Caenorhabditis elegans: one gene and its partners. The protein of the gene in region 1 interacts with the protein of each later gene in a biochemical or structural test. Each region holds a gene or a part of one and is shown in the gene's direction. Other genes may lie near its edges.

Region 1 (7,991 bases):
GGCACAAATAGCGCAGAAATGGCATCAATCCGTACGACGAGCGACGAGCTTCGTGAAGGACAGCAAAAGCTGAAAAGAATGCTCGAAGAGCTCGAAACTCAACGGAGCAGCCTTCAGACCGCCTGTGAAATCTATACGGCAAAGAAAGCAGAGCTCGCGAAAGCTCTTTCAGACGCTGGAGGCACTGATGCTCCACCAATTGATGAGGCAATTGATGCCGCTTTTCCGTTGCACCGACAAATTGTGCTCAATTATGCGAAAGATTTGACATGTGATGACGTCATTTATTCACTTGGTATGGAACGAAAAGTTGGGAAAAATTGGAAAAATCTAGCTGGAATTGCTCAATCCTGAGGAAAATGTGCAAAAATTGTTTTCAAAAAATGCAGAAGTTGAAAATTAAGAAAAACTAGTGAAAATGTTTCAAAAAAATTAAATTAAAGTTGAGATTTTTCGAAGTTTCTGAGAGATTTGAAGCCAAATTAAAAGCGTTTTTCTGAAATTTTTCAACGATTTCGTCTATTAGCACTACTACAAATCATTCAAAAACCCCCGAAAAAAAACAGAAATTAGTTAAAATTGACTTTAAATTCTAGAAAATTCACAAAAACTACAAAAAATTGGAAGTTTCTGAACAATTTTCAGCCATTTTTACTCCAAAATTTTGTTGAAATCGTTCAAAAATCAGTTTCGGTTTTATTTTAGCAAAAGTGTTTTTTTTTTGCGGAAATTTGATAGAAAAATTATTGAAAATGACTGAAAATTGGAATTTCAGCAAATTTTCGGTGTAAAAATTTTTCCGAAATCCAGCAAAAAAAAAAACGAAAAAAAATTATGGTATTTATGAGAAATTTTTTTTTTGCCTAATCTTCAAAATTTCAGGTCAATCACTGAAAAAACGCCAAATAACACTTGCCGAATACCTCCGCCATGTTCGTGACGTGTCCCGAGAGCAATTTATCTACCGAGCAACAATGCAGAAATGTCGACGAACTGCTGGTCTTCCTATTTAAAATTTAAATAAAATTTGGATTGAAAATCGTGGAAATTTTTGAGAAAAAATTGCTAATTTTTTGACCAAAACTGGAAAATCGTGAAAAATTGTCCATAAAAATGCTAAAAATTCGATAAAATTCTCGATTTTTGGATGAAAAATACTTTTTTCAATAAAAAGTGGGAATTTCAGCGATTTTCTGACGAAAAACTTAAAATTATTGCTGAGAAATCGAGAAAAATGCATTTTTTTAAAACGATTTTAGCTAAAAATTCCATATTTCATTTATTTTCCTGATGAAAAATTGTTTAACATCAAAATTTCGGTGCTTTTCCGTGATTTTTCAAGTTTTTTACATGTTTTTCCGTTAAAAATTCACTTAAATCTTCTAATTTCAGCCGAAAATTGTAAATTTCAATAATTCCCGTTAAAAATGATGGAGCTTCTATTGAAAATTACCTCGAAAAAAGCTTTCTTTTTTTGACGATTTTCCAGCCGAAACATGTAAATTACGACGAATTTCAGTGACTTTTTTGTCAAAAAAATTACGGTTTTCACTCATTTTTCCATCTTCTCATTTCAAAATTTCTCCCATTGCCGCCATTTTTCTCTAATACTCCCTTTCTCTCCGTCTTGATGCCCGTTGTGATTTGGTTTGTTCTCTCTCTCTCTCTCTTTTTTTCCGTTTTATAGACACAATTTTCTAGATTTTTCCCCATTTAAAATATCCAATTTTGCACCCATTTCCCCATTTTTCCCGGGGGAAAAGCTCGCTTTTCTCTCGAAATTCGATGACTTTTTCAGGTTTTTTGTTCATTTATTTTTTGTACAAAAATTTTAATTTAAATGTGATTTTTCCCCCCATTTTTTTCTGATTTTTTCGCTCAAAATACCGTGATTTTTGGCGGTTTTTCAATATTTTTGATAGATTTTTTTTGTTGCTATTTTTAAGCCAATTTTTCCAGCTTTTTGTGCTTGTGCTCGCGGAGCTCCCCACAAATGCAAGCGATCAAATGTGTCGTCGTTGGTGACGGAGCCGTCGGTAAAACGTGTCTCCTGATATCCTACACCACAAACGCATTTCCCGGAGAATATATTCCGACGGTGAGTCATTTTTAAAGCAAAAATTGAGATAAAATTACGTTTTTTGGCTCAGAAAATAGGACATTTTGACACAAAATCGAAAAAAAAAAACAAAGAAATTTAGGCAAAAAATATTCAAAATTGTTGTATTTTGATCCAAAAATCATTGAAATAAATATTTTTTTAGGCCAAAAACTGGGAAAAATAGTGAAATTATCAATACTGAAAATCGTGAACATTTTGATTTATAAAACATTTAAATAAAAAATAATTTAAATTAAATTTTTTTTGCTAAAAATCGTTTTAAAAAGTACATTTTTTTAATCAAAAAAATAAGTGAAATTTCACTGAAAAGTATGAAAATTAAAACTTCCGTTTTTTACGGAAAATCTAGACAAAAAACTTTTCAAAATGCGATAAAAAAGTTTTCTGCAAAAATCGTTTTAAGAAACACATTTTTAGCGAAATTTTGCTGAAAAATATGAAAATTGTCAACTTGTTCCCATAAAAATCAATAAATTAATATTTTTTATACCAAAAGCTGGGAAAATGGTGAAATTTCATATAAAAATTGGTATTTTTATTTGAAAAAAAAATGTCGAAAATTTCAAAAAACTTCAGTTTTTTTAAACGGAAAATCTAGAAAATTTTGATTCAAAAAACTTTTAAAAATGCAATAAAATTGTAGGCTTTTTGCAACAAAAAAATTGAAAATTTTGAAAAGCGCACAATTTCCCGCAAAAAATATGAAAGGTGTCTTCTTTTTCCCAAAAAAATGCTTTTTTCCCATAAATTCAAATTTTTTCCAGGTATTCGACAACTACTCAGCAAATGTGATGGTCGACGGTCGGCCGATAAATCTCGGGCTCTGGGATACAGCTGGACAGGAAGATTACGATCGGTACGGGCAGCGGGAAAACTGAAAATGCTCGAAAAAACTCAGGATTATGGGTTTTTTCAATAAAAAATTGCTCAGGATTATGTGATATTTTCCTCAATCAAAATGTGGAAAATATCACATTTTAGAAAATTTCATCCAATTTTTCATAAAATGACAGTGATTTTGAAGCTATTTTGTGGTGAAAAACTCGAAAAACATGGAATTTTTCGCACTTTGCACTAAAAATTACCCCAATTATCAATTTTTCAACACCAAAAAAATTTGCAGACTCCGACCACTGTCATATCCACAAACAGACGTGTTTCTCGTATGCTTTGCCCTGAACAATCCGGCGAGTTTTGAGAATGTTCGTGCGAAATGGTATCCAGAAGTGTCACATCATTGCCCGAATACGCCGATTATTTTGGTTGGAACGAAAGCTGATCTGCGTGAGGATCGAGATACTGTTGAACGGTAGATTTTTGGAGAATTTGAGAGAAAAATTGAGGAATAAAGTGAAAAATTTGTAGAAAATGATGAAAAATTGCCAAAAAATTCGAAAAAGCGCATAAAAATTCAGAAAATCACTTAAAAATTGAAGGAATACCGCCAAAACATTAGAAAAATCATTAGAAACGGCAAAAAAATGAGAAATAAGGAAAAAACGCATCAATTTCAGGAAAAAAAATTGCAAAAATTGTATGAAAAGTTGCGTAAAATAGCACAACATTCACATAAAATTTTGGAAAAAAATTTGCAAGATTTTGAGAAATTTGCTCAAAATGTTGAAAAAAAAATTAAAATTAAGATAAATCGCTAAAGAAATGTAAAAAGTTGCACTAAATTCGCATAAATTGTGGACAAAAGTTTGAAATTTTGAAAAAAAGCACATTAAACAAAATTGGCTTAAAATCGAGAAAACTTGCAAAAATTCCGAAAAAAAAAATTTTTTTTGCAGGCTCCGCGAACGCCGGCTCCAACCAGTGAGCCAAACCCAGGGCTACGTGATGGCAAAGGAAATCAAGGCTGTCAAGTATCTGGAGTGCTCGGCGCTCACGCAACGTGGTCTGAAACAAGTTTTCGATGAGGCGATCCGAGCCGTGCTCACGCCGCCACAAAGAGCCAAAAAGAGCAAGTGTACGGTGCTCTAAGATGGGGAAATTGGAGCAAACAATCGCAGAAACTACAACAATTTTAACTATATATATACATATATCATCTGGATTTTTTTTGTTTTATCGATGAATTTTGCTGTGAAATTACCGGTTTTTAGGGAGTAAAAATTGGCAAAAACTGAGCATTTTTAGGCAAAAAACTCGCCGATTTCCGTTCAAAGAAATGCTCCAAATCGGCTGAAAATTACTATTTTTTTTAACCGAAAATCGGCCAAATTTCCACTGAAAAAGCTCAATTTCAGCCGAAAATTTCTCGATTTTTTTCCAGAAAATTGTCCAAAATCTGGGCGTTTCCACTCTCTAAATCTGAATTTCCAGCACACTTTTTCTCATTTTCCCCCTCTATTTTTATCTCTAAAAATTTGTTTTGTATCAACGATTTTTCATCTTAAACTCGCTGTGATACTTTTCTTACTTATCCACCCCAATTTTCAGCATATTTTGTGCTCATTTTTGAGCCGAAAAATGCTCAATTTGTCCATTCATAATTTTGTGCTTTTCCCCTTTTCCCACCTGAAATAGGTCTTTTTTCATCTGAAAAATTGAATAACTTTTCCCCAAAAACCACAAGTGCTTTTTCCTCTCTAATTTTTATCGGTTTATTTTTTTTATTTGAAATTTCTTCGAAATTTTTGTGAAATTTCTTCGAAAAATCTGAAAATGTTTGGAAATCTCTACGATTTTTTCTAAAAAATGTTCAAACTTTTTGGAATTTGTTTGAAAAATTATTTGGAATTTTTCTGAAACTTTTTTTCAAAAACTTTCGATTTTTTTTTGTAATTTTTAGGACACAACGAACCCTCTCTCCACAACCAAAAATCCTCTTTTTTCTATTGTGAATTTGAACAACAAACTCGGCTCTTTTTCCCTTTTTTCTTACTTTAATTGTTAATTTCTCTTCTTTTTGTCCAACTTTTATTATGCTATTTTAATATGATGATATGATATTTTACCACACTTTTTTTCTATGATGGAATTTTAAATTTGAACATTTTTTGATGGAAAAATTGGAAAAAAAAACAATTCGAAAAGTTGCAGAGATTACAGATTTTTCTGAAACTTTCGATCAAAAATTTCAGATTCTGAGTTTTTTTACATTTGTTAATCGGACACAGAAATGAATGAAAAAAATCCTAAAAAATTTCCGAACTTTTGTTTTCTCGGTGGCCTAGAAAACCTAGATTTCTAGGAGTTTTCTAGTCCCCGGGCATTGGCCACCCAGCAAGCACGTGTGTGTGTTCATTGATCGTTAATGTGTGGGTTGACGCTGAAACTCTTGATCCCCAAAATCACTTTGATAAATCTTTTCAAACTGATTTTTTCCGATGAATCTCCAATCCATTTTCTGCTTCCCAAATACGGAACTTGAATAGTCAACGGAGTTATAAGAGTACTCACTAAGGTAGCGATTACCACAAAAGAGCACCCACAAGAACCATGTAACAACTGGATAGTGCTAAATATGATTGGGAACTGAAAACTGGTTCAAAAAATAAAATTGAATTACATCGAACTAAATACCGATTCAAATATTAGCGCAGTGACTGCCTGCCAGAAAATGTACTTTTGCAGAATATAATAATGACCAGAGGTTACGTAAGCATTTTTTCTAACGCTTCTCATGATCGGAATATAAAATAGTGTTGAAAACAGTTGTAAGACATACGGAATAATGATGGTTGCCTAAAATAGTCAATTATGTAATATCGGATTGACGGGACAGTCAGAATTTTCAAAGAAAAGTTTATGCGGAAATTCAAATTTTCAGATATAAATTTTTTGTGGAAGATACCAATTTCTTGTGATACTATTTTTGTTGGAAATGCAACTTTTCTGATAGAAAGCTTGACAAGAAATTTAAAAAATTTTACTGAAAAATCTTTGGCGCGAAATTTAAATTTTCTACAAAAAATTTTACTCTGAATGAAAATATAACAATTTTTGGCGGGAAATCCAAATATTCTGAATTAATCTACAGCGGGAAATTCAAAAGTTCTAATCAAATTTGGCGGAAAAGGTAAAAAAAGGTTTTGAAAGTTTTTTTCTTGGAAATTTTAGATTTTATGAGAAAATAATTTGGCGGGAAATTAAATTTATCTGATGATTCTGAATAGTTTTCAGGTGTCAAAGTTCCATTAAACGTACACTGGAAAATGTGTCAAACTTTGCCTCAGCCGCTGTGCTTCCATTTGATAGAACCCATAGTATCGCTTCTGTTATTAAAAATATGATATATAAATACCAAACGTCCTTGAAAAAGTGTTTCTGGATAATTGAAACTTGCTTCTCCAGTTTTGGGAAATAGAAAACCAGAAATTGTTGGAATGCCAGGAAAAACGTGGTAAGATAAAATGCCTTTGTAAGATGATACATGGTAAAACACAATGCATAAAAGATCACAACGATTAGAAAGCGAATTATTACACTGGAAATCAGAAAATTCTTTAAAAAATGGTTTTTTTAAAACTGAAACAGTACATTTCGTGAATTACATGTAGCAACGTATGGAGAATAATCGAGAAAACAAACAGGAAATACGCTAGCTGCACCATTTCGTAAAAATGTTGAACTGTTGGGAAGAGCAGCATCTACCAAAAAATTTTCCACTAATTTTCAGAAAATCACTTATGGGGTTATTCAAGTAATGTAGCAAAATGTATTTAGATACATGTTTTTATATACTTGAATACAGTTGTGACGTAATTTTTCTACACTTTTTAATTTTCCGACATTACTTGAATAACCCCATTACCTTCTTGTCCCGGTCTCTATTGATTTCATAGAGATACTTGTAGAATGGAAATATAATTAAGTTAATTAATAAAAAAGCATATGATATAAGGTCAAATTCAGCTCCTATGCTTTCGAAATATATGTTATCGGAGTTATTTGAAATTTTGGTGTCGTTCATTGATTTCTACTCGGGTTTTGAAAAAAAAAGTGAGTAGAAATGGGGTGCGATAATTCACCTGCACTTGAGAAACTATGAGAAAATAATAATAATAAAATTGGCAGCTGTTTAAAGGTGGAGTACCGAAATTTGGAAAATATTTTCAAACAAGTACAAACCCCTGATTTCGAAAAAAAATTCTCTGATTTTATATTTGAGCTTGAAATCACTTTGCGTCCCCATGAGTTTTTTCAAATGCGCGCCAAAAAATTATCATTGGAGTGCGCTTGCTTAGCTCCCGGAAATCGAGATGAAGCAAGCGTGCTCCAATGTGAATTTCTTTGAGCACACATTTGAAAAGGTCATGGGTGCACAAATGAAACTCGATCTTTAGCTGAAATTTAAAATCAGGGAAATTTTTTTGAATTTTTTCACATAAATATTCGAAATCAGGGGCAAACTTGGAGGCCAATTAACAATTTAGAAAAAAAAGTTTCAAAAAACTCAGAAATTTAAATTTTCGAAAATTATTCTCAGAAAAAAGTTTTTTTTAAAAAATTAAAATTCATTATTCCAATTCAATTTCTAATTAATAATATACTTACAAAAACAAAACACAACTCAAGAAATAATATTACTTCCAACATTTGCCACCAATTTGGCACTGCCTATCGATGCCGCCGTCGTCGTGGCCGCCAGCAAATGTGTAGGAATCTGCAAAAACTCTAAAAAATATTTGTTTTACTCCCCACTTACTTGGGCGGCTTAATCTTGTACTCCGAGCCACCTAATACAAGTACCTAATCTGAATATCAGGTTACCCCCCCCCCCCCCCCCCCCAGGTACTGTAACTATTTTGGGTGATGGGAAGAGAGATTAGGCTAATCTTGTTGTAAGTAGGTAAGCAAATATTCGAAAACTTAAAAAAAAAAGTTTGTTCCCCTGCCTACATGCCTGCCTATGCCTATT
Region 2 (6,225 bases), on another chromosome or scaffold:
ACAGAGCTCACTTTAAAGAAATTTGTTAGCATTTTTTACACGTACCGCTTTGATTCCTGCCTCTATAAACGTGTGTGGTCTCATTGCGATGTCACGAGTTGTTCCATTAGTCCACGCCGGCGTGCCACGTTTCAGGGTTCGGATATCAAGTGTGCTTTTGGTGAGAATGGCGGACGACATGCCGAGGCCGATGTTATTTGTGGTTTGTCCTGGTGTTTGATCGCATGATGGAATACTTCCACAGCTCAAGCTCCTGCGGGTGAGCTGGCGGTGAAGTGAGACACGTGGCGGGTCCTGGTTCTGAGCTCGAGAGTTATGAATAGTAGTGGTGGTGGTGGTAGTGGTGGTAGTTGTCATTTCTTGATGAGGTGTAGAACCATCATCACGGCATCTTTTTGGAGGTGTACCACCCTCATTCTGAAAGAACAAACGCAATTCAACAAAAACTGTCATGTCATAATTTTTACCGGCTCTTCATCTATAGTAGCTGTCATAACACGGCTTCTGCTCCTCTTCGAATTGGCAGCAGCAGTAATCGCATGTGCTGACGCGCTTCTCCGCTTGCCACCAACTGCGTTTCCAGCAGCTGAGCTTCTTCTGACCTCTCTTCCATTGCGCAAATGAATAACTTCCTCGAAACTGTCTCCAGTTTCATCGTAATCCACCTCACTATCGTCCTCATCGTCCTGTGTGTCCTCCATCAAATGTGGATGCCTCTGCTGCACCCGTTTCGAGTATGTCCGGACCAGTGGCTCGTGAAGAAACTTGAACTGATCGCGGTCTTCCTTGGTGAGACTATTGAATATACCGTTCTTCATCGCATCTTTCAGCTGCTTTTCACGAGTCTCGTAGACGTTTAGATCGAGCTTCAACGCCTTATTTTCTTCCATCAACGCGCGTAAATGTTTCTGAGTGTCTTTGACATCGATATCGAACATTGCCAGCTTCTTGCGAGCTTTTCTGAAATAATAGTGTTTTCTAAACACGTAAACATGAAATATTTCACTTACGCAAGTGCTTCTTCGGCCTCTCTCATATCTGCATTCAGCCGCTTTTTGGATTCCTCGGAATCTTTCCACAGCTTGCGGAGACGCTCAATCTCATCAATCAAATGAAACATTCCTGAAACACGTCATTAAAATTTGAAAATGATAATTGAAACTAACCTATATCCTTAATATCGAATTGCGGTCGCTGTGAGTTTAGAATCATGTTGAAAATGTGACGCGAGTTTTCGCCGCACACCTTCTCTTTTGATGTACTGGACTTCATTCTAAAATGTGGAAATGATTAGAAAACGAGAAACTCGCCCGAAAATAAGAGAAAAATGCGTGAAAACCGTTTCAAATTTCGTGGAAAACAGTTCGAATTTGAAGCTCGCTGCGTTTGTCTCACACGCGACGCGACCCGCTACGCTTGCCATAGGGCGCACATGACTGCGAGGACTAGTGTGCACAAAAACATGGGGCTTCAAGGCCTCGACTAGTTTTTTGAATTTAATGTTTAAAACTGCAAGCAGGCCCGCTAGCAGGAAATTTTTTTGTTAATTTCTAAGTCAAATTTTCAGCTCTCATGAAGCATGTCTGATGAAATCTCTATATTAATACAAGATAGAAAAACAGGTCAACGTAGGAATCTAACACTTAATGTAGTGGACATTTCAAACTTTGAATATATACATTATTTTTTTCAGATAAATATAACTGGAAATATCGAAGATCTCACAAAAGATGTGGAAAAGCTCACCGAAATTCCCAGCGATGAGCTGGAAGTGGTTTTCTGTGGGAAAAAGTTATCAAAATCAACGATTATGAGGGATTTGTCACTGACACCTGCAACGTAGGTCAAGTAAATATTTACTTATATAAATAACTGGAATTGTTATTTATATAAATAACTGGAATTGTTATTCAAATAATATTATTTCAGACAAATCATGCTTCTCCGTCCAAAGTTCAATAGTCACAACGAAAACGGTGCTACTACTGCAAAAATAACAACAGATTCTTCAATTCTCGGAAGCTTCTACGTGTGGTGCAAAAATTGTGACGACGTCAAGCGCGGCAAACTGCGGGTTTATTGCCAAAAATGCTCGTCAACCTCTGTTCTAGTCAAATCTGAACCCCAGAACTGGTCCGACGTTCTCAAAAGCAAGAGAATACCGGCGGTCTGCGAAGAATGCTGTACTCCAGGTCTTTTCGCTGAATTCAAGTTCAAATGTCTAGCCTGCAACGATCCGGCCGCAGCTCTAACTCACGTACGCGGAAATTGGCAAATGACCGAGTGCTGTGTTTGTGATGGGAAGGAGAAAGTGATCTTCGACCTCGGATGCAATCATATTACATGCCAATTCTGTTTCAGAGTGAGTAAGAATCTAAATTTTTTGTTGAAATTGTTTAATTTTAAAGGATTATTTGCTAAGTCAACTGGAACGATTCGGTTTTGTCAATCAGCCGCCGCATGGCTTCACCATTTTCTGCCCCTATCCAGGGTGCAATAGTTCGTTCGATTTTATCAAAACCATTCAATTTTCTGCAGTAGTGATCCTGAAAACTAATTGATAGAAACAAAAAATCTTCCAAAAAATACAAATATGTTATGTTTCCATTTTGCAAGTCTGGCATGGTTTTTTTTTTGCAAAAAAAACCCCCACCCGTTCTATTTAAATTTATTTTGAAAATTTTCTCACATGTTTCAATAGTTTTTCAATGCCGAGAAAATTGAAAAAAAAAGTTTTAAAGAAATTAAACAGAACATTTAATTGAAAAATAACTTCAGGAGTGGTACAAGATGTGCACCATTTCCACATTATGGGTCAGACGTCGTACAGCGAATACCAACGGAAAGCCACCGAGCGATTGATTGCCGTGGACGACAAGGGTGTGACTTGCCCGAATGTCTCGTGTGGGCAGAGCTTCTTCTGGGAGCCCTATGATGACGATGGAAGATCCCAGTGTCCAGATTGTTTTTTTTCGTTTTGCAGGTATTTTGAGCTTCTAAATCGGAAATTTTATCGCAATAAATATCATCGTTCAGAAAGTGCTTCGAAAGAAATTGTGTGTGCCAGAGCGAAGACGATCTCACCCGAACTACAATTGACGCGACTACAAGGTGATCTCAGCGATTATCCACTACAAAAAACTGTAAATTCTTCCAGAAGATGCCCAAAATGCCACGTGGCAACCGAACGGAACGGCGGATGTGCTCACATTCACTGTACCTCGTGTGGAATGGATTGGTGTTTCAAGTGCAAGACAGAATGGAAGGAAGAGTGTCAATGGGACCATTGGTTTAATTAATAACTCTCTAAAATTCATCTTTTCTAGAGATTGTACGTGTTATTCTGTAGATTTTTACAACAATTACGGTGTGTCTGAAGTTACATTGACATTTTTTCTCTTCAAATTTTAGATCTTTTTCTCAATTTTTGTTGCTGAGTATTTCGCTCATTTCATACCTTTTTTTAAATGTTTTGCCAAATTTCAAAGAACACATTTCTCGCAGGGATCTCCATAGACATGTCAGGACAAGGACCTCCACCAAGTATGACGCCGCAGCAACAACATGTAAGATTTTTTGTGCTTTTGAACTTGAGAGTAAATTTTAGTGAATTTGAGCACATTTTACAACCTTTTTCGGAAAAATTTCACACTTTTCTACGGCTTCATCCTTAAAACAATTGAAGTCAAAAAATGTCTTTTTTTTAATTTTGGGAACAAAAAAAATTAATGAAAATGTACAATCACACCAACATGGAAACATTTCTTGAGCTTCGGGATATATCTCAGTTTTGGAGTGGGCTGAAAATTATTTTTTTCATGAAAATTAAAAAAACAACTTTTTCATGAAAACAAAACTCACCGCATTTTTTAACTGAAATTTGAAAATTTCTCACTCAAATATCCTTTAAAGTTTCATTTTAAGACGTTTTCAGAGCTTTTTTAAAACCATATAACCAAATTTTAAACTAGGAATAAAAAGATTATAAAATAAAAACATTTCAGATGTTAATGCAGCAGCAACAGCAGCAACAAATGATGCGGCAGCAACAAATGCAGCAACAACAAATGCAGCAGCAACGTCAACAGCAAATACAACAACAGGCTCAACAGGTAGTAATATACCGTCCAATTTATCGAAAATTTGAAATAGCACTTTCTGATAAATTTTTTAACGTAAAATTAAAATATTTTATGATTTTTTCCGCAAATTTCTGATCGAAATTTTTTAAAACATTAAATTAAACAGATTTAGCGTATTTTATCGCTAAAACTAAAGAAATTTGATAGGAAACATACCATTTCGGTTTTTTTAAATAGTAAATAATAACACTACGATACAAATAAAAAGCGCTTAAACATATATTATTCGGTACTTGTGTATTATACCCCCGCCATTTTAAAAATTAATTTTTTAGCTTATAAAATAAAAACGTGTGGAATTTTAGGCTTAGGAAAACACCATTCCTAAGCCTAACAAGGAAAATGGGTATCACGTTTAATTTAAACGGATAAATTAATGGAAATTTAATTAATTTCTAAAATGGCGGGGGTATAATACACAAGTACCTATTATTCTGTAAAATATCGATTTACCACAATTTTCAGCCATACCAACGAGCTCGAACTCCACAAATGGTACCACAAGGAGGCTCGCCGGGAGGTGCTCATCTCCAAATGCATCCTCATCTTCAACCACAAGGACAAATGCAACCGAGAAGCCCTCTAGTTGGAGCACAGCTTCAGGCTCCCTCGTCGGTGCCCACTGCCGCAAATCCGACCACTCCACAGATGATGCAACAGCAAATGGGCATGAATGTACGGGGAGATTTCTGATAAAACTTAGAACTATTGAAAAAATATTTGGAAAAAATTCAAAAAGGGGAAATTAGTGAGAGTTGGAAATTCGTGTTTTTGGAATTTTCATTTTCTTTTCTTTTTTTTGTGGTATTTCAGCATATGGAATGTTCCTAGTATTTTAAAACTGAAAGTAAATCCCCATTTTCCGAACTCTACTTTCATTCAAATTTCCGATTATTTTGTTCAGAATTTTTGTTGGAAATTAAAAAAAAACCAATCTAAAACAATTGGCCGTTCAAACATAAATCTCCAAATAAAAGTAATTTGTGACAATCTTTTTTAGCTGAAAAAAAAATGTAATTTCAGCAACCAATGTCTCTTCCGCCAACACACGTCTCACGTCCAGGCTCAGTTGCTCCGCCGTCGTCGGTTCCCGTCAATTTACAACACACATCTGGTGCACCCGGGCTCCCGGGCTCACAAATGGAGCATCAGTACCCAATGCATTTGCAGCCACAACAGCAGACATTATCAAGGCCGGGGTCTCAGCAAAGTCAACATATTCAACAACCCGGAAGCATTCAAAGACCTGGATCGGTAAATTTTCGGATTTTATTGAAAAATTTTAAAAAAACAGAGAAGAAATATACAGTGCTTCACATAATGATACGGCCACCCCCAAATTTTGGTATAACTCAAAACTGGGTTGAGATAGCAAAACATAGTTTCTTGTGAAAATGTTCGCTGTACTGGCTAACTTTCAGATAAGTATTGGAAATATACCTGAACCGTTCGTAAAAAAAGATAAACCATTTTTTCATGAAAAACCATATAAAAAAATCCACAAAATGATACGGCCACCCTTGGTTTTTGTTTTCTTTTTTCGTTTTTTTTGCAATTTTTTTTGCTAAACGTTAGGTTTCATGTTCGTTTGTGTTTTTACAGCTATGGGTCGTGGAATAACTTTAACTGACTACGAAAAAGGACAAATTGTGCAAAATTATCTCAAGGCTTCTCGGATCGTCAGATTTTTCGTGATTTGAAACGTTTGAGAGATATGATCACTCGATATGCTTCAAATCCTGCCGCTTATTGCACCAAAAAGTCTTCTGGTCGCCCACCACTCCTTTCTGGTAGAGACAAGCGAAAAATCGTTCGTCGAGCATTCAATTGAACAGTGACTTGCTCGAAAAGTAGGAGCGAGATGAACCTGCCAGTGTCTGTTGAGACCGTACGTCGTGTCCTTCGAAGTCCCAGTTTATCAAAAGACGAAAATTAATAAAGGCTAATTTCATTACCGAAAAACACGGCCAAAATCTTATTCAGTTTGCTAAAATCAGCCAGAGAACTAACTGGAGACAAGTGAGGATTACGGTATGATCATTCAATCTCATGTTTTGGTCTCAGATCATCTTCAGTGGCGAGA
Region 3 (6,980 bases), 8.1 Mb from region 1:
TAAAATATCATAGCATTTTTCTAATTTTTAAAATAGGTTTTTTAATCAGAGAATTTTATTGACCTAGTTTCGACATTTCCGGCTGAATTAATTGAGTTTTTGTTTTATAAATTGAAGCACAATTTATCAGTTTTTTCGCAATATTTAGAAATATTCTATTCATTTTTACTGATATATTCAGTAAATCGAGACAACACTGCTCTCAAGTTTCTCGATATTTTACAGTGACACATGGAGTTAAAGTATAAAATACTGTAGGATCAGATGTAATCGCATCATCATGAAATCCGCTTTTGAATCCCTTAGCCTCTTCAGAAGGACACTCGAAACTAATTTGGTTTTGACCCGATTCACATCGTTCTTTTATTCGTTTACTATTACTATTAGAATACCGTCCATCATCCGCTCCCTACATGTTTTCATATTGTCTCCTTCGACATTTATAATGTTTTTATTCATATGTTTTCAGTCTATTCTTTCTTTCTTTCTTTATTTCAACCTGTATTAAAGAGCATCCACGTCATCGTCTCCCCCTTTCTCTGCGTTTCCACTACTTGACCTAGTCTCTCGATTATCGCTGACAATCTCGAATTTCATCACAACATCTTCTCTTCTTCGACGCTCACCAGTTGTGGCTAGTCGATAGGCACCGGATCTCCATGTCCTTCTGCCGGTCACGCTTGACTTCTCAGCCCTCCACCATGTTCATGGATTCAGTGATGGGAATTGGAATAGCTTCATAGATTTTCTTTCCGGACCGGTCTTTTTTGGAGATTCTTCTTCATTCGGGAAGAACATGTGTCTAACCACCTACGTCTCTCTAGTCTTGACCGCTCTATCGCTCCAATCCGTGTTTACAGACCTTGGAAAGGCTCGGCGGAGCGCGCACGCACCTCTAGTCGTCGAATGCGCTTGTTAATTACGGCAAACATACGTTTCACACTTTATTTTTCTCTTTCTCGACGCACATTTCGAATTTCTATATGGTATTGCAAAATGCAAATAAATATATAGACTGTACTGTATTGCCTATCTCGCATTTTTCATGTTCTTTTCGTTTCCCATAAGAGTACATTAGCCGTGTAAGGAGGATTAGTGTAGGGATATTACGACGGCCACTACGAGAAGGTGCCAATTGGAACCTTGTTCTTCCCAAGTGGACGAGACAATGAGACCGATGAACGTCATCATTACATAACATTCTTATTCCTTCTTCATTGGAATACACTTTCTTTAATTTTAAATATTTATGTACTCATGAGACTATATAATCCATTCTGAGCTTATTAATTCTAAAATTTTTATATAAAAAATATTCCCAGTGCGCTATTCATTTCTTTATGTTGTCAGAAAAAAGTTATTCTTGTCTCTTGTGTCCGGCAGTGTCCGGCAGCGCCCTTGTTTGTCGGAAAGAGAAAACTAAAATAAAAGTTTTCCTCTCTTTTTCAAGAAGCCCAAGGCGTTTTTCACTTTCAATCGTTCCTTTCCTGCTTCGTCTTCCAAAAAAAAGCATGAATTTTTTGGAATAGCCGAAAGGCTTTAGAGACCGAGTCAAGATTGATGGCATCCTTTTGCCAGTCAGCTCCAAAACCAATATCCGTTATTTGGGATGTTTTTCTTCATTTCTCATTCATCAGGTATATGTTAGGTGCCGATTGAATGTTGTCGTGGAAGAGGAATATGATGTTGATGGACAATAAAGATAACATTGTCCTGGTCTTCCCCTCTCCTGTTGCCTCATAGTAATACTTTTACATAATCTCGGATGAATAAACATTTGTCCGTTCCATTTATGTTTTCTTCTTCTTCTTCTCGAAAATAGATTCGTTTCTATTGAAAGGGTCAATATTTAATCCATAGTTAATCTTCTATTGAGGAATTACTTTTCTTGAAGAAAAGAAGAGCAACGAATGTCGGTTTACTTCTAACTTGATATTTTTAAGCTTGTTATAAATATCAATTCATATTTATACTTTTTTGTTAAAAAATTATTTCAGGTAACTATGCATCTACGGGAGCCCCTCAAATATGTATGTAAAATATTAATTGTTTGCGCCCTAGTGGCTTTGTTTTCAAAAAAAAAAGACGATGACTTTAGCAAAAACGAAATCAAATACATATGCTTAATTCAGTCCATCTGCTTCACTTTATGTTGATGTCTATTCTCTTTTTGCAATTCCTATTATTTTTCTGTCGTTCCTCTTGTCCTGAAACCGTATTGTTACATGCCGTCCTCGGTGTTTCTTTCCACTGTTTTTCTGAAAGCTACGTCCACCAAACCCTTGTTCACTTTTTTTTTCTATTTTTCGCCAGCCACACGTTGATTTATGTGAAGTAGCAGTAAGGGGGCAAACGCGGGCTTTACCATCTGCCAAGCTAGTTACTTTTTTCGTCCCGCTCCTTGCGCTTTTTGCTTGCCCATCTCTTTTTTTGTGCTTTCTCAAACTAACTCTAGCCACTCAACTCTTATAAATCAATCAAACAAATTCTATAAATTGTCCTCCTTTTCTCCTTGCCTATCCTTTGTTTTTTTCAAACAATCCGTGTTTCTTCCATACTTTCCCCTTCAACCCGATATCATTCATTCAATTTATAATTTTCTTTTCCAGAATTTCACCCAAACCACTTGCTTCACCCGTGCCGACCCCAAACATGACGACGTCTTCGTCTGAAGGTGGGGCCGGTGGCCAGCACGAGGAAACTTCGATGACGTTAACTTCATCAACATCAGCAGACAGAAGATGCTCACAGGACGTGAGAAAACATTCACAGCACAAACAAGAAAAGGCGATTGTACACGATTTGGAGTGTGCTGCTAAAGGTGAGATTTTTTGAAATGTTGGAATCGTAATCTTTTCTTTTGGTAACTTCGAGAATTTTGCAACAAAAAAAATTAAAAAACCTTCCGTATTACCCAGACACAAAACTTTGTGATTTTCGAGCCAAAATACGGTAACGGGTCTCAACACGACAATTTTTTTTTGAAAAATACGAAGAGGAAATTTAATTAATTCTCTAAGTTTTTCTAACAATTTGTTAAAAATTTATGGATTTTATTTGAGTTTGAGAATACAGTAGTTTTTAAAGCACACTTTTTCGAAAATTCAACCAAAATTTATCGTGTCGAGACCGGGAGCCATATTTTTGGCGCAAAATTTCGCGTTTGAGTATCAAAACTGAAAAACTAAAAAATAGTTCGATATATTAAGCTTCAAAGTTTATTAAAAGTATTTGTCATCTTGATCTTCCCTCCAAGTTTACATTGAATTCATTTCGTTGTTTTTTCTTTCCGCTCACACCCTCTCCAACTAGTTTATGTTGATCCCATCACGAATTGGGGGTAAGTAGAGATATAAACATATATTACGTGCCACATTGTGAGGAAAAAACTTGTTCAATGTTCCTAGTGTTGTTCATCATAATCAAACATTTTAATTGCGATTTTAAGTATAGAACACTATCATTTTCATCCATTTTTCGCGCCTTTTCACCCTATTATCTAAACAATCATCAGCGGAAAGAAGTCGGTACACAGTCAGAGAGAGAAAGAACACACGGGCGGTGCGGGAAAAAAGAAAAGAAACATTTTCATTTCGCACCCCATCGCCATCGTCGGGCGACATCAACGCATTGACAATTTATTGCGATTGTGTGTTGGAAACTGCGGGAAGTCACTTGTCACTTGAACCAAAGTAATGAATAGTTATACTAGAGGGGAACTTGCGGAATAATAGAAATGTGATAGGGCATCAGTACGGGGGGAGTAGTGAATAATTCGAAGCCACTGCCGCCGCCAACCTTGTTCTCCCCTTATACCTGTGTCGTAAGTGTGTAAAGTTGTTTTGGAATCATTCTTCTTCTCTATGGAACTTAGAAAAGAAAGACGAAGACGCAGAAGATGAAAGGGCATGCGATGGAAACGGATCATCATCGCCCCACCCGGGAGCCATGAGAAGGCAGTTGTCTCTCTGTCTTCTCTCGAGAGAATCTCTTAGAGAACGAAAGTCATTTAGTCTTCTGTCTCTTCCCATCTTATTTTCCCACACTGGTGTTCGTTTTGATCTAAACGTCATGCGAACATGAGTATTCGACTACCACTATGTGCATCGATTGGTGTCGACGATCAGTATGATTTCCAAGGTTAGTTAGAATTGTAGAAGGCCCTACTTGAATAAAGTATGAATTTTCCAAGATAACAAATATTTTGTTTATATGTTTTGAATTTAACGAAACATGAAATTCACCACTGTAGTTTCTTATGCAAATAATTTCAAAACGACAAAAAAAAATCACTCAGAAAACCATGTGATGTGAAAACGCTTTCAGAATCATGAATTCGATGTTCTATTTTTCTCCAAATCTTATCTCCTTTTCGATCAAATTCGTGTGATAGTGGGATAGGCCCAATTCCTGTGACAATAATGACTCACAATGTTATAAACAGTGGAAGGAATCTCTTGTCAACATTCAATTCCTACTACTTTTTCATTCTTTCCGATACTATTTCATGATCCTTTTTTCCTACTTTCCGCACCTTGACTTCCGTCCTTCTCGTCCTCGACGTTTAATTGTTTCTTCTACCAACCCAAGAATGCTAATACTTTCTTCACTCCCTAGTTTTTGTCTTCATATCGTATCTTTGTTCGATTCGAATCGACCTGGCGTCCCAGACAATAGTAATGCCTCCTTCCGTGCACTTCAGAGCTCTTTCTGCAGCCACGGCCACCCATTTCATAAATCATCCTCAAAATTGATCCGTCAATTTCGTTGTCCCGTCTTCGTTGTCCCGTCCACTCTGGGTTTGCTCATGGACTCATCTTCAGAGGGATCTGTCCATCTATCTATCGGCTCCTTTTCTCTCGTTTTGTTCTCTAAGTATGTGTGTATGTCACACCTGCAATTCGGATTCCATGTGGTCGACACCACATGTTGCTTCTTTATATCATTCTTTCTTAGTTTTTTCTTCCAATTTTCGTTATTTTGAGCAGTTTCACCATAAAACCTTTACCACAAAAATATCGTAGATATAGCCATCAATTCAATGTACCAATTTCTACGGTCTATTAGTCGAGTAGACTAGAATACACGATATGCTTTGTACTGCTTTCTGACTCTCTCACCCACTATCAATGATTGATTTCTTAACATTCAGATTGGGCCGGATTACGTCCTCAATTTCTACAATGTGTAGACTTATAGAATTCAGAGAATAAAATAGTTGTCAATATCAAAGTTTAGTTTCACTAATTTTTTCTTCATCCATCTGTAGAATTACTTGACGTAGATTTTATTCTGCTATATTTTCCGCCAAAATCTCAAAACTCCCACATTGAATTCTTGATTTAAATTCCTACTTCAACTTGGCACATTTCAATGGCTGTGTAATTCAATTCGATGACTATGACTACATAATTAGGTAGGTAGTATCCTCGCCTTTCTCTCATAGATTTCCCACGACTACTGTTGTCTTCGCGCAGGAGGACTACCAAATAGAATGGGAATATGATATTGAATTGCTCTCATCTCAGAGTAGCTTCATACACACAAATGCACACGCACTGGTTGTGTCATTTAGGCTGATGAGCAATATGGTGGCGGCATCACCACTCTCTACACAGAAGACCGCCAAATGTGTCCGTATGTCTCCAAGGCGATCTCCATTATACAAGGAGGCGTTGAGAAGAAAGAAGGAGCGTCTTTCCATCTTTCTAGTGTTCTGAGCACTGGATTCCGATAAGCACTCGTATTCCTTACTTTTAAAAAACCCTCTAATGTTTCATCTCATCTCTAATTCACGCATTTCATTCAAATTCTCGTTTCGTTTTTCGTTTTCATCGTCTCCACCACCATCATAGTGAATTGGAAGAGAATGAAGGAAGACGAAGGAGAAGAACGTCAGTGAGGAGGAGCATGTGCGTGTCCTTCATGCTTTTGCCTCAGTCGCCATTTTTTACAAGTCTTCTCCCGTGTTTTTTGGCCGAGAAACACTGCAAAATGTTATGCATGAGTGTATGTGTGGGAAGAGTGTGTGGCAAAGCACGGCGCGAAAAATTTCATTTCAGTTCTCTTTTTTCCACGTCCATGAGCTCTCTGCTTACTCTCCCGCAACTCATAATTTGATCTGAAGAACACCTTTCCCCTCCCAACGAGGCAAACAAATTTGAACTCGATGGTGCAATGTAACCAGCAAACAGTTGCCGCCATCTTATGAGATTTATTGCTGGGAGGAGAGGCCTATAAGGCATGGGAAATGTCTGTATTGTCTGTTTGTTTTCATGTTTATTTGTACAAATGTTGCAACGTTTTCTATTTTCCAAAGAATCAAATAGGGGTTTTCAACAAAACATTTTTCCGTATTTAAGATAAGTTTATTCCAGCTATAATTTCTCAATCCTCTCGTAAAGTATTCATTTTCTTTACATCCCCTATTCAATGTCTGTTTTGGTGTTTTTATTTCCAATAGCAGTGAGAATCTCATTTCTTTTCTTCCTTTAATACTATAAATGACTTTCGAGAAAAGAAGCGGAAGTATCATTGTTGAGAAGGAGACACCACCAGAAAAAGGCTCTTTGCCAATATTGCGACACATAAAGGGGCTCTTTTTGTTTTTCAATTCTCCCTTTCTCTCACTCAGACAACACAGAAAAATGAATGGGCAATTTAACTGCTGACTCTCCTTTCTTATTGCAACAATTTCCTTGAATACAATCGTTTGTTTTTTCAGAGTTCCGCACGAAAATGAGCGACCAGCTGAAATGTCTCGGAGATCGAACAGATGTACAGATGAGCAGTCTCTCCGAACTTCAGGATTACTTTCGGAAACGAGGCGAAATCGAGTCAGAATATGCGTGTAAACTGGAAAAACTATCCAAAAGTATAGCTCAAAAGCACAAATCAGAAAGAAGTCGACGAGAAGGTTGGCCACAGCACACCTCCAGTACAGTATGGCATACGTTAGTTGAACAGACGAAAGAAGAATA

The links.
Region 2: of the proteins of ced-10 (region 1) and pdr-1, one has a biochemical effect on the other in vitro, tested with the Caenorhabditis elegans proteins (one study listed by BioGRID).
Region 3: the proteins of ced-10 (region 1) and srgp-1 form a complex in vitro, tested with the Caenorhabditis elegans proteins (one study listed by BioGRID).

The regions. Positions count from the first base shown.
Region 1 is NC_003282.8:3,503,496-3,511,486, reverse strand, and holds ced-10 (Ras-related protein ced-10), read left to right. Parts: upstream 1-1,959; 5' UTR 1,960-1,993; coding exon 1,994-2,098; intron 2,099-2,378; exon of another isoform or gene 2,379-2,528; intron 2,529-2,886; coding exon 2,887-2,978; intron 2,979-3,245; coding exon 3,246-3,431; intron 3,432-3,915; coding exon 3,916-4,108; 3' UTR 4,109-5,159; downstream 5,160-7,991. Other genes in the region: tsg-101 (Tumor susceptibility gene 101 protein), read left to right, coding at 2-295, 883-1,013; srz-83 (Serpentine Receptor, class Z), read right to left, coding at 5,372-5,605, 5,654-5,815, 6,278-6,557, 6,611-6,720, 6,885-7,043; ceh-53 (Homeobox domain-containing protein), read right to left, coding at 7,644-7,736. UniProt on the Caenorhabditis elegans protein: Required in engulfing to control the phagocytosis of apoptotic cell corpses. Required in embryonic development for the correct positioning and orientation of the mitotic spindles and division planes in blastomere cells.
Region 2 is NC_003281.10:13,769,952-13,776,176, forward strand, and holds pdr-1 (E3 ubiquitin-protein ligase parkin), read left to right. Parts: upstream 1-1,567; 5' UTR 1,568-1,579; coding exon 1,580-1,648; intron 1,649-1,693; coding exon 1,694-1,839; intron 1,840-1,929; coding exon 1,930-2,362; intron 2,363-2,408; coding exon 2,409-2,499; intron 2,500-2,778; coding exon 2,779-2,983; intron 2,984-3,036; coding exon 3,037-3,111; intron 3,112-3,157; coding exon 3,158-3,299; 3' UTR 3,300-3,393; downstream 3,394-6,225. Other genes in the region: cyk-4 (Rac GTPase-activating protein 1), read right to left, coding at 46-417, 468-960, 1,011-1,122, 1,167-1,272; mdt-29 (Mediator of RNA polymerase II transcription subunit 29), read left to right, coding at 3,519-3,566, 4,005-4,112, 4,608-4,817, 5,166-5,396.
Region 3 is NC_003282.8:11,567,891-11,574,870, forward strand, and holds the start of srgp-1 (Rho-GAP domain-containing protein), read left to right. Parts: upstream 1-2,609; 5' UTR 2,610-2,652; coding exon 2,653-2,821; intron 2,822-3,776; exon of another isoform or gene 3,777-4,079; coding exon of another isoform or gene 4,080-4,140; intron 4,141-4,637; exon of another isoform or gene 4,638-4,846; intron 4,847-5,791; exon of another isoform or gene 5,792-6,145; intron 6,146-6,724; coding exon 6,725-6,980.